Linked DNA regions of Sus scrofa. The protein of the gene in region 2 interacts with the protein of the main gene of each other region in a pairwise test. Links are inferred from orthologs where the notes say so. Each region holds a gene or a part of one and is shown on either strand. Other genes may lie near its edges.

Region 1 (6,300 bases), on a different chromosome or scaffold from region 2:
AAGTTTGGGGGTTGTGGCTCAACAGGTTAAGAACCTGACGTAAGGAGTTCCCATCGTGGCGCGGCAGAGATGAATCCGACTAGGAACCATGAGGTTGTGGGTTCGATCCCTGGCCTCACTTAGTGGGTTAAGGACCTGGTGTTGCCATGAGCTGTGGTGTAGGTCACAGACACAGCTCAGATCTGATGTTGCTGAGGCTCTGGCATAGGCTGGCAGCTATAGCTCTGATTAGACCCCTAGCCTGGGAACCTCCATATGCCGCAGGTATGGCCCTAAAAAGACAAAAGACAAAAAACAAAAAAAACCTGACATAGTGTCTGTGAGGATGCAGGTTAGATCCCTGGCCTTGCTTAGTGAGTTGAGGATTGGGCATTGATGCAAGCTGCAGCATAGGTTGCAGATGTGACCCAAATCCAGCATGGCTGTGGCCAGCAGCTGCAGTTCTAATTCGACCCCTAGCCCGGTAACTTCCATATGCTGCAGGTGTGGCTGTGAAAAGAGAAAAAAAGTTTTTTTTAAAGAAGAAGTTTAAAATATTGCTAGAATTCCCAAAATGGGACACAGAGACAAAGTAAGCAAATGCTTTTGGAGAAATAGCAACAGACTTGCTTGACAGAGTTGCCACAAACCTTCCAATTTGTTTAAAAATGTAGTATCTGTGAGGCATAATAAAGCAAGGTATACCTGTAGTCTTAAATTATTGCATTATAAAGCAAGGTATACCTGTAGTCCTAAATTATTGCATCATCCTATTTCTTGCTGTTAGTTCTTCAGGAATACTAGTTACCTATATGTTGGTCTCTGTTTTTTTTTTTTTTTTAATCCGTTTAATCACCTTAAAATTTTAATTATTTTGTCTTCTTGTCATTCTGAGAAAGTTATGAGTTTTTATCTCTGTCTTTTGATCTTATGCACTTCCAGTTCTGTTCTTTCTTTGCTAAAATGCATGGTTTTAAGTTTGTAATTTTATTTTTTTTCCTCTTTACAATCTTTCCTTCTCTAGAGATTGCAAATGAACTATGAGGCCAGGCCTGGCAGATCAGTAGATTTTGTGTGTCGCATTTAAATGTTTTTTACTTTAAAAATGAGGGCATTTTACATTAAATCTGATTTATGGCTTCCTAAATCAAATTTCTAGAGTTCTGCAGTCTTTTTTTAGATCATTTTTATTAGCCTTGGATGGGATCTCCTGTCATCTTTTATGAGGAGCAGTATTTATTCCTGGATAAATGTAAGCTGTCTGGAATTTTCTCTTCCCAGAAACAGTGAATGAGAAAACTGTAACATAGGATATACTGCTTCCACAGCTCTTCCAATATTAGCTCCTGCCCTCTGCTGATTTCTAAATCCCTCAGTGGAAGCACTGTACCATCTATTTCTACCTCTAAATATTCCATCGTTTGATTATAGCCTCAGACAGATGGGGGTGGAGAGGTAACGATAACTCTAGCTTCCACTGTGAACATTTCTCCACCTCTTCTCTTTTTGGTAAACAGAATATTCAGAGAAGGTGAGTAGATAGAAAGATTTAGAGATCTGGAGTTCCTGTTGTGGCGCAGTGGTTAATGAATCCAACTAGGAACCATGAGGTTGGGGGTTCGATCCCTGGCCTCGCTCAGTGGGTTAACAGTCCAGCGTTGCGGTGAGCTGTGGGGTAGGCTGGTGGCTGCAGCTCCGATTGGACCCCTAGCCTGGGAACCTCCATATGCCGCGGGAGCTGCTCTAAAAAGGCAAAAAGACAAAAAAAAAAAGAAAGAAAGAAAAAGAAAAGATTTAGAGATCTTTCTGTGATCTCAGGGATTCATCTAAGCTTTGATTTATTAATGATTTTAACACTTACATATTAGGTTAACCTCAGATGAATTTGGTGAAACTTTTAAATAGATGCTAAAATTATGTATGTTCGAGTTTTCATCGTAGCGCTGAGGAAATGAATCTGACTAGAAACCATGAGGTTGTGGGTTCGATCCCTGGCCCTATTCAGTGGGTCAGGGATCCGGCGGCGTTGCCATGAGCTGTGATGTAGGTCTCAGACATGGCTCGGATCCTGCGTTGCTGTGGCTTTGGCATAGGCCGGCAGCTGTAACTTCAGTTCAGCCCCTAGCCTGGGAGCTTCCATATGCTGTGGGTGTGTCCCCAAAAAGTAAAATAAAACAAGGTAAAATTTCTCTACCTCATTATTACTTTACACTTTCCAGATTTGAGTTCATATTATTATGTGGAATAAAAAAGTTAGGAGTTGCAATGAAGTAGCTTTAATTGAGGTTTATATTTTTATTTGTACAGGTCCTGCTCAGTCTGGAATTCTGTCAGATCGTGAAGTAGTAAATCTCTTCCTTCATTTTACTGTCAACCCTAAGCCCCGAGTTGAATACATTGATCGACCAAGATGCTGCCTCAGAGGAAAGGAATGCTGCATCAATAGATTCCAGCAAGTAGAGAGCCGCTGGGGTTACAGTGGAACAAGCGATCGAATCAGGTATCTGTCTTATTATAGACTTGGGGTGCGGTGGGCTAGTAGTTAGCATTTGGCTTTTATGCTCATACTGTGGGAGAAAATTAGCCACATTTTATTTTATACTTTGTTTAATATGTTTCTAACTTAGGACAGTAGTCAGGGAGTCAGTGAGGCTTATTTGTCTCCCCACTGAATTATGAGTGAGGGGATCTCTTAGGAGACATTAGAAAGGATCGAATTGGGCCTCCTTGTACATGAGTTTTGTTTGGATTGCCACTGTTGGTGAGCTGAAGTCTAGACCTTGATTGATCAAAGACTGTTTTTACAGTCTTAGAGCTATAATTTAAGACATTTAATCTTGCTCTGTTTAGTGTGAGTTTTTTCTTTGTACAGACACTGCATGGAAAATATCTTACTATACGTTTGTAACAACTTTGAATGGAAAAAATTTAAATCTTACAAGATGCATGCATATAATCCTGGTGGAAATGATATTTCCCCTACTGTGTTTCCTTAGGTTAAATATTGAAATAGAATAAGTACTTGTTTACATTTTTTAAAAAATGCCTTTTTTTCAAATGAACTTATTTATAAAACAAAAACAGACTTAAGATCTCAAAATCAAGTTTATGGTTACCAAAGGGGAAACATGGGAGAAAGGGATAAATTAGGAGTTTGGGATTAACAACTACATACTACCTTAAGACAGGCCTTTTGGATTTTCACTTATTTAGTATTAATAGCACTTTGGTATAAAATGAGAAACTAACAACAAATTTGTTTAAAATTAGAACTCCAGGGAAGAGAAAACTCTTAGAAATATTGAGTTAAAATGGAAATAAAAATGCGTTTGTAGAATATTTAGTAAGGAGAATACTATAAATGAAAACTTGGCGTTCCCATCGTGGTGCAGTGGAAACGAACCCAACTAGGAACCATGAGGTTGCAGGTTTGATCCCTGGCTTTGCTCAGTGGGTTAAGGAACTGGCGTTACTGTGAGCTGTGGTGTAGGTCGCAGACGCGGCTCAGATCTTGTGTGGCTGTGGCTGTGGCGTAGGCTGGCAGCTGTAGCTCCAATTAGACCCCTAGCCTGGGAACCTCCATATGCCAAGGGTTCGGTCCTAAAAAAGCAATAAATAAATAAATAAATAAAAGAAAACTTATGGGATGAGGCTATAAGTGTCACACAGAGAATTAGCAATAATGGGGGGGGGGGGTGGTCATGGCCAGCAGTGGCTTGATGTGGGATCTCACTCCCCAGACCAGGAGTTGAACTTGGGCCACTGTGGTGAAAGTGCCAAGTCCTAACCACTAGGCCACCAGGGAACTCCCAATAATTAACTACTTTTACTAAGTAAGTTAGAATAGAAATAAATGATGTAAGCATTTAGTCCAAGAAGCTGGAAAATGAATAGCAAAAGAACCATAAGAAAAGAGAAAGGAAATGGAGTTCCCACTGCGGTGCAGTGGGATCAGTGGTGTCTCAACAGCGGCAGGGATGCAGATTTGATCCCCAGCTGACACAGTGGGTGAGGGATTTGGGATTGCCGCAGCTGTGGCGTAGGTCACAACTCTGACTCAGATTCAGTCCCTGGCCCAGAAATCCCAGGTGCAGCAGGGTAGCAAAAAAAAAAAGAAAAAAAAAGAAGAAGAAGAGAAAGGAAATAGATAAATATAGAAATTAATGAATTAAAAATAGAATTGTTAAATCCATAAGCCGTTTTCCTGGAAAAAAAAATGAAATAAGTAAACCTCTGACAAAAATAAAAAAGAAAACATACATTTGCAGATCATAATGGGAATATAATTATATACTGAGGAAATTTTTATTTTGATTCTGGGTTTACTCTGTGCTAATAAATTGAACATCTTGATGGAATGGATCATTTTGTAGGCAAATATAAATTATCAAAATTGACTGAAGAAGAAACCTGAATAGACCAATTACCATGGAAGAAATTAAAAGTTATCAAAGAACTGTCCCTTCAAGGTGGTTTTGACAGGTGAGTTTTATCAAACCTTCAGGGAACAGATTGTTTCCTTGAGCATTAAAAGAAGAAAAATACTTCTTGGTTAATTACTGAAAGAAGCATAACCCTTATACAGAAACCTGACAAGACAAAAAATTTTCTAGGTCAGTCTCACAGGAAGGAATTCTATGTAAAATAGCATATTGAATCAAGCAGTACCTTAGAAGAATAATACTATAAAAGCAAATAGAATTTATTTGGAAATGGAAAGAATGGCTCAATACTAAGAAATGTATTACTGTAATTCACCATGGTAGCAGGTCAAAGAAAAAACCAGTTTATTTCAATAGGTGTCAAAAAGACTTGATAAAATTTCACCCTTGGTCCCGCTATAGCCGTTAATAGGCTAGGTCTAGAAGAATACTTCTTTAACTGTTGAAACCTCAAAATAGGGATGCCTGCTAACCTTGCTGCTTTTTCAGCAGTGTTCCTATAATTCTGATTGATGTAGTTGTAAGGGATAAAGAAATGAGAGCATAAAGGAAAAAGAAATCTTGAAAAGGAAGAAGTCTTTTTCATTATTTGCAGATAACGTTATTTACATTAGCAGTTCTGTACTCCATCAGACCTAGTTCTCTCTTTTATAATAAATATTTTGTATTCTCCCTGTACTAACCTGGGATGAAATTCATAGATAATATATTTCATTGTTAAGTGATATAATGACCTAGTTGTAATGTAAAGGACAATAAATGTAACTGATAGTAAAATGAAATACATATTTCAGTAGGTGGATATTTGTGCAGCACCAGAAGACAAACAAGCAAGCAGTACACACCAGCCCGCCTAGACGGCTACAGTGCAGGGTGTGTTCATGTCGCAAATTCCATGAGCAGCACTGCTGGCAGTTTTGTCATTTTCTTTAAAGGTTTCAAATAAAGCAAAGTACAATAAATCCTATTCATCCACTTTCTATATTTGAGGACTCATCTACTCAGTAAAATTTATGGTTAACCTCCAGATCAATACCAGCAATGCTTTCTCAGTTGTTCACAGGAAAGATCTGAGTTGTCCAGCCGCATGTTCTTTGTGAGATCAAACAAGGCAATCCTCTGCCCTCCTATTTGAGCTCTCCTACATAGACGGAGACAGCGGCGGGCAGTGTAGTGCAAGACACTGCAGCTCTCGAGCTGTTTGGATAGGTTGAATCCCAACTCTGGCATGTGTTAGTGGGGTGGCCTTATGCAAATCACTTAACACTTCTTAGTTCCATCTTCTCTTTTGTAAAATAAAACAGAATATACTAGAATGAGATACTTTAGGATTTAAGATTATAATCCATATAAGTGGGGGGGGGGTGTGTGTGTTTATGTACATAGTCCCCCTAAGAACAGTAGTTTAGTGTTTGCTAATTCTGTGTCAGCAGCAACTATAGACTATAACTACCACAAATAATGAGCATTACTGCATGTTATTTCCTCTGTTTATAAAACATAATAGTTGCCTCTTATAAAAGTCAGTAAATACTAAAATTGCCTAAAAATCTTTGGTTTATAAATAAAATGAAATTAGGCTCAAGTCTTGTAGTTAAAAACAAGTTTTTCATCTACGTGAATTCTGACAAGACACTTGAAAGTTAATTGGGATTCTTCGTTTTGGGAGACTGTCTTGAGTATTGCAGTAGAGCTGGTGTCCCTATCTCCCTCCCGGCAGCTCCCCATATCCTAGTGGAAACAGCAAGCCTCCTTGGAGCTAGGACTTCTTTTGAGAGCAGCTAGTCCACCCAAACAGCCTCAGGATCAGCACAAATCTGTTAAAACCAGTAAAAAGGAATCGTGGCCATTTACAAAGTATAAATGCAAAAACCAGTAA
Region 2 (6,300 bases):
CAGGTTGTATGTCTTCTGACCTCATGTACTACACCTGGGTATTTATATGGAGGAAATTTCAACTGAAGGAAAACAGTCTGGGCCTGAAAATGTGTAGTTACTCTTACTCTAGCAGTAGTTTATTTTTTTTGGCCATGCCCATGGCACATGGAAGTTCCCGGGCCAGGGATCAAACCCGTACCACAGCAGTGACCTGAACTACTGCAGTGACAATGCTGCATACTTAGCCCACTGTGCCACAAGGGAACTTCCTCCAGCAGTTTTTAAACTCCAGTTCAAGTATAGAATTCTGTGAACAGATGGAAAAGAATCAATCTGTAATTTAGTTTACCTTTAGTTGAAACTCATCATTTCTTTGGTTGTGAATGTGAGCAACCACCACTGTAATATCAGTAGTACTATGCTTTTGTCACCAATATTTTTATTTTATTTTTTGTCTTTTCTAAGGCCGCACCCGCAGCATATGGAGGTTCCCAAGCTAGGGGTCTAATCGGAGCTGTAGCTGCCGGCCTAGGCCAGAGCCACGGCAACTCGGGATCCAAGCCGCGCCTGCAACCTACACCACAGCTCATGGCAACGCCGGATCTGTAACCCACTGAGAAAGGCCAGGGATGGAACTTGCATGGTTCCCAGTTGGATTTGTTAACCACTGAGCCACAACGGGAACTCCAGATTTTGTCACCAATAGATGGTACATATATTTTCATATCATATTACAATTGTTGCTGAAATCAAAGTATCATTATTACTACCCTGACATTTACAATAATTATGAGACCCACCTAAGATTTTATTTAGTAAATTAGTGAGGAAGCACATCTATCACTTTATTGGGCTTTTGGTAAATACATTTTCAAAATAATTGATTTACTTTGTAATCCATGTGTCTGCTTTGTGGTGAAATAGCTGCAAATTCTCATTGTGGGTTAGTACATCAGAATGGATTAGTTTGCTAACACAGAAGTGATCATCATCAAATATTAAGTGCCTTGCAGCTTCAAAGCTCAGTACCAGGCAGAGTCAGAGGAAGGAAAGAGGCACATGGAAGAGGAACAGCATCTAGTTGTTTGCACCTAAGTCTCTCTTCTAGGTCAGCAGCTCTGGCACACAGCCGGTATTCAACAGATGTTTGATGATGAGCTATATAAAAATGTGATTCATGTGGCATGTGTAAAAATAAAAATAGTTATGCTAGGATTAGGGGAAATTAAACATCATTGTTTCATCATTTTTTCAATTTTAAACAATCCAGTTTGGATACAGTTAATAGTTCTGAGCTGTGGAAATGATTTGTAAAGATATCTTTGTATCTATTATCCTCATGTATAGAAGCAACAATTAGCAGTTATATCAAAGAAGGTACATCAAATTTAGCTTTTAAAAATTGGAAGTAGTCAATGTAGAACTTTTGTCCACAAAATAATAGACTTCCTGAACAATGAGTACTTGATACTCAGTATCTTAGAGGTAACTACTATCATATTTCCATTTTTTTATCTTTAGCATGAACCGTTCTTCTAGAATGGACCCAGAACTGGCCGTCTAATACCCCAGCTCAGAAGGGTGGAGTATAAATGCCCACAGCAGATACGGTTTTCTTCATTTTGCTATCCCGCCATCCAGATCCAAGATACCTTAGTCTGCAAGTTCATCATGGACTTCTCAAAAGTTTTTGGTGGTGCCCTCTGATGGTTACAAAGAATTGCAACAGCTCGGTTGGCACGGTTATAAGATAGGATCTTTGCTGGGATGTTTTCATCAGCTGTGAAGAAAGAAACATGGTAATAAAAGAGTCAGTGTGTATAACAAGAAATAATACCCAGTGCTTCATCCTCACTATTAACTGGTCCTCATCTAGCGCAGATGATCAGCTCAAGTTGGCACAAGGTCAGAATCTGAGTCAACAGAATCATCTGCTTGCCTCAGTGCTCCCCCATCTAACCACTCAAAGTAGCCTGAAGAAAATATGGCATTGGGACAGAGAAAGTGTATAGAGGAAAGTAAGACAAAGGCACTATAAATTTTACATTTTAAAACCACAAAGTACTGTATCTTTCAATAAGAAAAATAAAAAGTGTCATCCAAGAAGTGTTTTTGTGCCATATAGTATTCTTTATCCCTCTCTAAAATACCGTCAACAGGAGTTCCTGTCTGGTTCAGTGGTTAATGAACCCGACTAGGAACCATGAGGTTGCGCGTCCCACCCCTGGCCTCGCTCAGTGGGTTAAGGATCCGGTGTTGCCGTGAGCTGTGGTGTAGGTTGCAGACGGGCTCGGATCCCCATGTTGCTGTGGCTCTGGCATAGGTCGGCAGCAATAGCTCTGATTAGACCCGTAGCCTGGGAACCTCCATATGCCGCCGGTGTGGCCTTAGAAAAGACAAAAAATAAAATAAAATACCATCAACATACCCATCTTTGATGTTCTGAATACCATTTTTCTTTTCCTTTTTTTTTGGCCACAGCTGTTCCCAGGCCAGGGATCGAATTGATACCACAGCAGCAACCTGAGCCACAGCAGTGACAACTCTGGATCCTTAACTTACCCATTGAGCCACTAGGGAACCCCTGATTGCCACTTTCTAATACCATCTGAAATATTTCTAGAGGACAGTGGAAATTTAGCAGTGACTAGACTTCACGGAAGAAAGCTTGGAGATCTTGGTGGTACCATCTGCAGCTAGTTTTTAGGAGAATACTATCTATTCTAAAGGGGAAAAAAAGGACAGACACCTCAGGGAAGGGATTTGCCACTATGTTGTTTTAGTAACCATGACAACTTTACTCTTTCCAATTTAACAGAACATCACAGTACTGTATCTTCATTCTGTGAGCTTTAAAATCACAGATATAAAACACAAAATGCAGGTATTTTTAGAGCAGAGAGGAAGCCCCTGTCGGCAATCCATAAAACTAATCTAGAAGCTAGAGTAGAAATTTGGCAAGTAGCACTGTTCTACGTTTACACAACTAAGCCTTAGCCCTCTGTTAGAAGTGTGTGTGTGTGGGGGGGGGGAATTTCCAGTCACAATGTCAAGGAGGAAAAGCAGAATTACAACTTAGCTGCATAAGATACTGGACAGCGTTAGTTAAGGCTGTGGGCCCTGTCTAGCCAAATAGTACTTACGAGCTGTGAGTTCCTTTAGCTGCTGTTGTAGCGTGATGGAAGCGTTGTATGTACGGAACACCTTGGCTGTCAAGCCCTCCATGAGATCCTGAAGATGCTTATTTAGAATACCAGTCTGGGGGAGACAAAGCAACAAAAGGCTTTTACCGATGGGATTTAGGTAAAAGCCATACCATCCTGGCCTTTCTGGCAAGCTCTAGATATTTATGCCAGTGCCATCACAACCTTGCCAAGCTCACTGCTCTGCCCCCCCCCCCGGGGGGGGGTTGGTCAGGAAAAGGGAAAAGAATTCCAGAATACAGAGTATCTCCCTAAGAAGCACTCCAATCTTAAGCAGGCCAATAAAGCAAATGTACCTTCCCTATTAAGATCTCAGAGACTCTTTCCAATTTAACAGAACATCACAGTACTGTATCTTCATTCTGTGAGCTTTAAAATCACAGATATAAAACACAAAATGCAGGTATTTTTAGAGCAGAGAGGAAGCCCCTGTCGGCAATCCATAAAACTTGGGTCTCTGGCAAAGGTGGCTTAACATCCAGCCAAGGAACAGTTCTGCAGGAGCCAGAGGAGGATAACGGGCAGGGGTCACGCCCCACCTCCCACCCCCACCGGATCTTCAACCATGGATTTGCTGTGTGCCTGAGAGAGAGGGTATACAGGATGCCCCAGGACAGGCTGAGGGGAGAGCCCCAGGGACCCTCAGGAAGACCTCTCCTTTAAGGAGCTTGGGAGGCTCTGGCCGGGCCCCTCTGCAACCCTGTGCACTCTGTCCACTTACATTGAGTCTATCAAAAAGATCATCCTCAGGCTGTTTATTCTCCATAAATAGCTGTAAGTTCTTAAAAACCTAAAAGAAATAAGCAGAGCCTTATTATTATTTTTAAAACCTTTACTTTGAAAATAGTAATTATTATAAAATAATAATCACTTAACAAAAGCTAGCAAGCTAAAAAAGGAAAATAAAAAACAAACCCCACAAAGAACACCGTATCTTTTCCTCAGATTCACCTACCATTAACATTTTATCTCACTTCCTATCTGTGCAGTGCACATGTATACTTACTTCCTTCTACATCTATGTGTGTACATGCACAATTATTTGCTGTGAACCATTTCTGGGAACCTACATATATTATGGCCATTTACCCTTGAATATTTCATGTATTACCTAAGAACAGAGATACCCCCTTATACACATGGTATTTATCAGCTTTATAAATTTATATTGAGACATACTTTTATCTAATCTATTGCCCATATTCCAATTTTGTCAGTTGTCCCAATGATGTTCTTTACCTCCCCAGTATGGAATCCAATCTAAGTTCAGATATTTTGTCAGATCTCTTTAGCTTCATTTAATCTACAGCATTTCCACAGCCAGCAAAATCTAATTACTGACGAACCATCAGACTGCTGATGGGCTAGACTACTGGGGTCCTGGCACTCTGTAGGTCTCTAGTTTAAGCCCAATACTGCTGGGGAGACCGCAGTACTGCAGCACCCTCTTGAGCTATAGACTTAGAGATCCAGGGACTCAAGGGCTGAATCAGGAGTAGGGAGAAAGCTGAGGAAAGCTACAAGGCTGACATATGTGCATCATGACCAGAGGGTATTGAAGTGTGGTTAAATCATTAAAATAACATGATGGAATAAACCTTACATGCAATTTATGATGAGAATCAAGGACTAAAAGGAGGGACACAGGACACCAAACAATACCCCTTCCCTCTCTTTCAAGTCACTTTTTTCTAGTGTTCAGCAAAGCACAGAGCACAGGAAAAGCTGGCAAAAAAATGATTGTTGAATAATGGATGAAAAAACAGGCCAGGGAGCTCAGGCCATGTTAACTTACTCGTTTCTCAACGGGGACTTTGTTATAGTATCTGATTGAGTCCTTCCCAAGGAAGTCAAACTCTACCACATATTCCTGACCATCCAACTCTGGGTGCAGGTTAATGTGCTCCACACGAAGCGAGCAGCAACCCACAGTGTCCGCGGTTTCTCCTTCCTCCTTCTCATTGCCTGCTCGCAGAGCAAGCTGTCCAGGGAGGAAAGAAGGGAAAAAGAAAAAGATGAGCATGCAGAAACTTGAATCTCACAGGATCTCTAGGAAACTCTCCCCATTCTCTTTGGAGACAGAGCATCAGTCTGCAAGGGCCTGGGAACTCTGGATTTGCATTGCTTCTTCCCTTATGAAATGAATTATGGAGAATCAAGGACTTTTTTTGGGGGGGTGGGGGGCACATCTTTCACCTGTGAAAGTTCCTGGGCCAGGGATCTAACCCATGCCACAGCTGAGACCTGCAACACAGATGCAGGAACACTGGATCCTTAACCTGCTGCACCACAAGAGAACCTCAGGAAATACAGAAATCTAAGTTTCTCTTTACTCTGTCCTCTTAAATGGGGATGGAAGAAAGAACATTTTTTAAAAAAAAATTCTGGGCGATCAGGCTCAAAAAGCTAGTCTCTTAATTTTGCTTAATTTTTAAGACAATTCAGAACTTGTGTTAAAATAAACATACACAGTACAAAACTGGGGGAAAATATGAAATCTTTTTCTTCCAAAAGAGTGCTGAGAAACCATCTCCAGAGAACTGTCTTGCAAACTGCAGATGGGATACACTGGCAGATTGTTTAACCAATTTTAAGGGTTATAACCATCCTTTTTTAAAAACAAGAAACTGAAAAACACCAGAATTCACTGCTTATAAGCAAAGGCCAAGCATCATTTTGTGCAACTTTTGTTTCAGTTACACACCTACCAACACAAATATGTTTATGGGTGTTAGGTTGTGATATAAAATTTGGGGAGTGCCTCATGTCAGCAACAGTTTGAAAATGTCACAGTATTTCTGGCGCATTCAGATTCATGAAAATCCTATTAGGAAGACTATATCTAGACAGCAGCAGACACTGATCACCTTCCTCCATCTCTACCTTCCCTACTGGACCAGAGATGGGGTGAAGAGGACCACTGGGACCACGGGCTGTCACTGCTTCTCAGGGGTCTGGAGGCGTAAATGCTCCCTCCACCTTTGTTAAGCTGAACACGGTAGGTGACGTGACAGGAAGATGCTATCACCTTGTCAATGAAGTACAGGGCTACAGCTCTCTGCCGGACTTTCATCTCTTTGGACTTCCAGTCTTCTCTATACTGGTTCCGGATCTT

What was found. The genes of interacting proteins can lie anywhere in the genome.
Region 1: the proteins of TOP1 (region 2) and BTBD1 interact in a two-hybrid assay, tested with the Homo sapiens proteins (2 studies listed by BioGRID). The link is inferred for Sus scrofa from reciprocal best matches to the Homo sapiens genes TOP1 and BTBD1.

What each region holds. Positions count from the first base shown.
Region 1 is NC_010449.5:51,910,434-51,916,733, forward strand, and holds part of BTBD1 (BTB/POZ domain-containing protein 1), read left to right. Parts: intron 1-2,286; coding exon 2,287-2,479; intron 2,480-6,300.
Region 2 is NC_010459.5:43,788,676-43,794,975, reverse strand, and holds part of TOP1 (DNA topoisomerase 1), read right to left. Parts: coding exon 6,214-6,300; intron 5,167-6,213; coding exon 4,981-5,166; intron 3,976-4,980; coding exon 3,907-3,975; intron 3,241-3,906; coding exon 3,126-3,240; intron 2,089-3,125; exon of another isoform or gene 1,763-2,088; coding exon 1,635-1,762; exon of another isoform or gene 1,504-1,634; intron 1-1,503. UniProt on the Homo sapiens protein: Releases the supercoiling and torsional tension of DNA introduced during the DNA replication and transcription by transiently cleaving and rejoining one strand of the DNA duplex.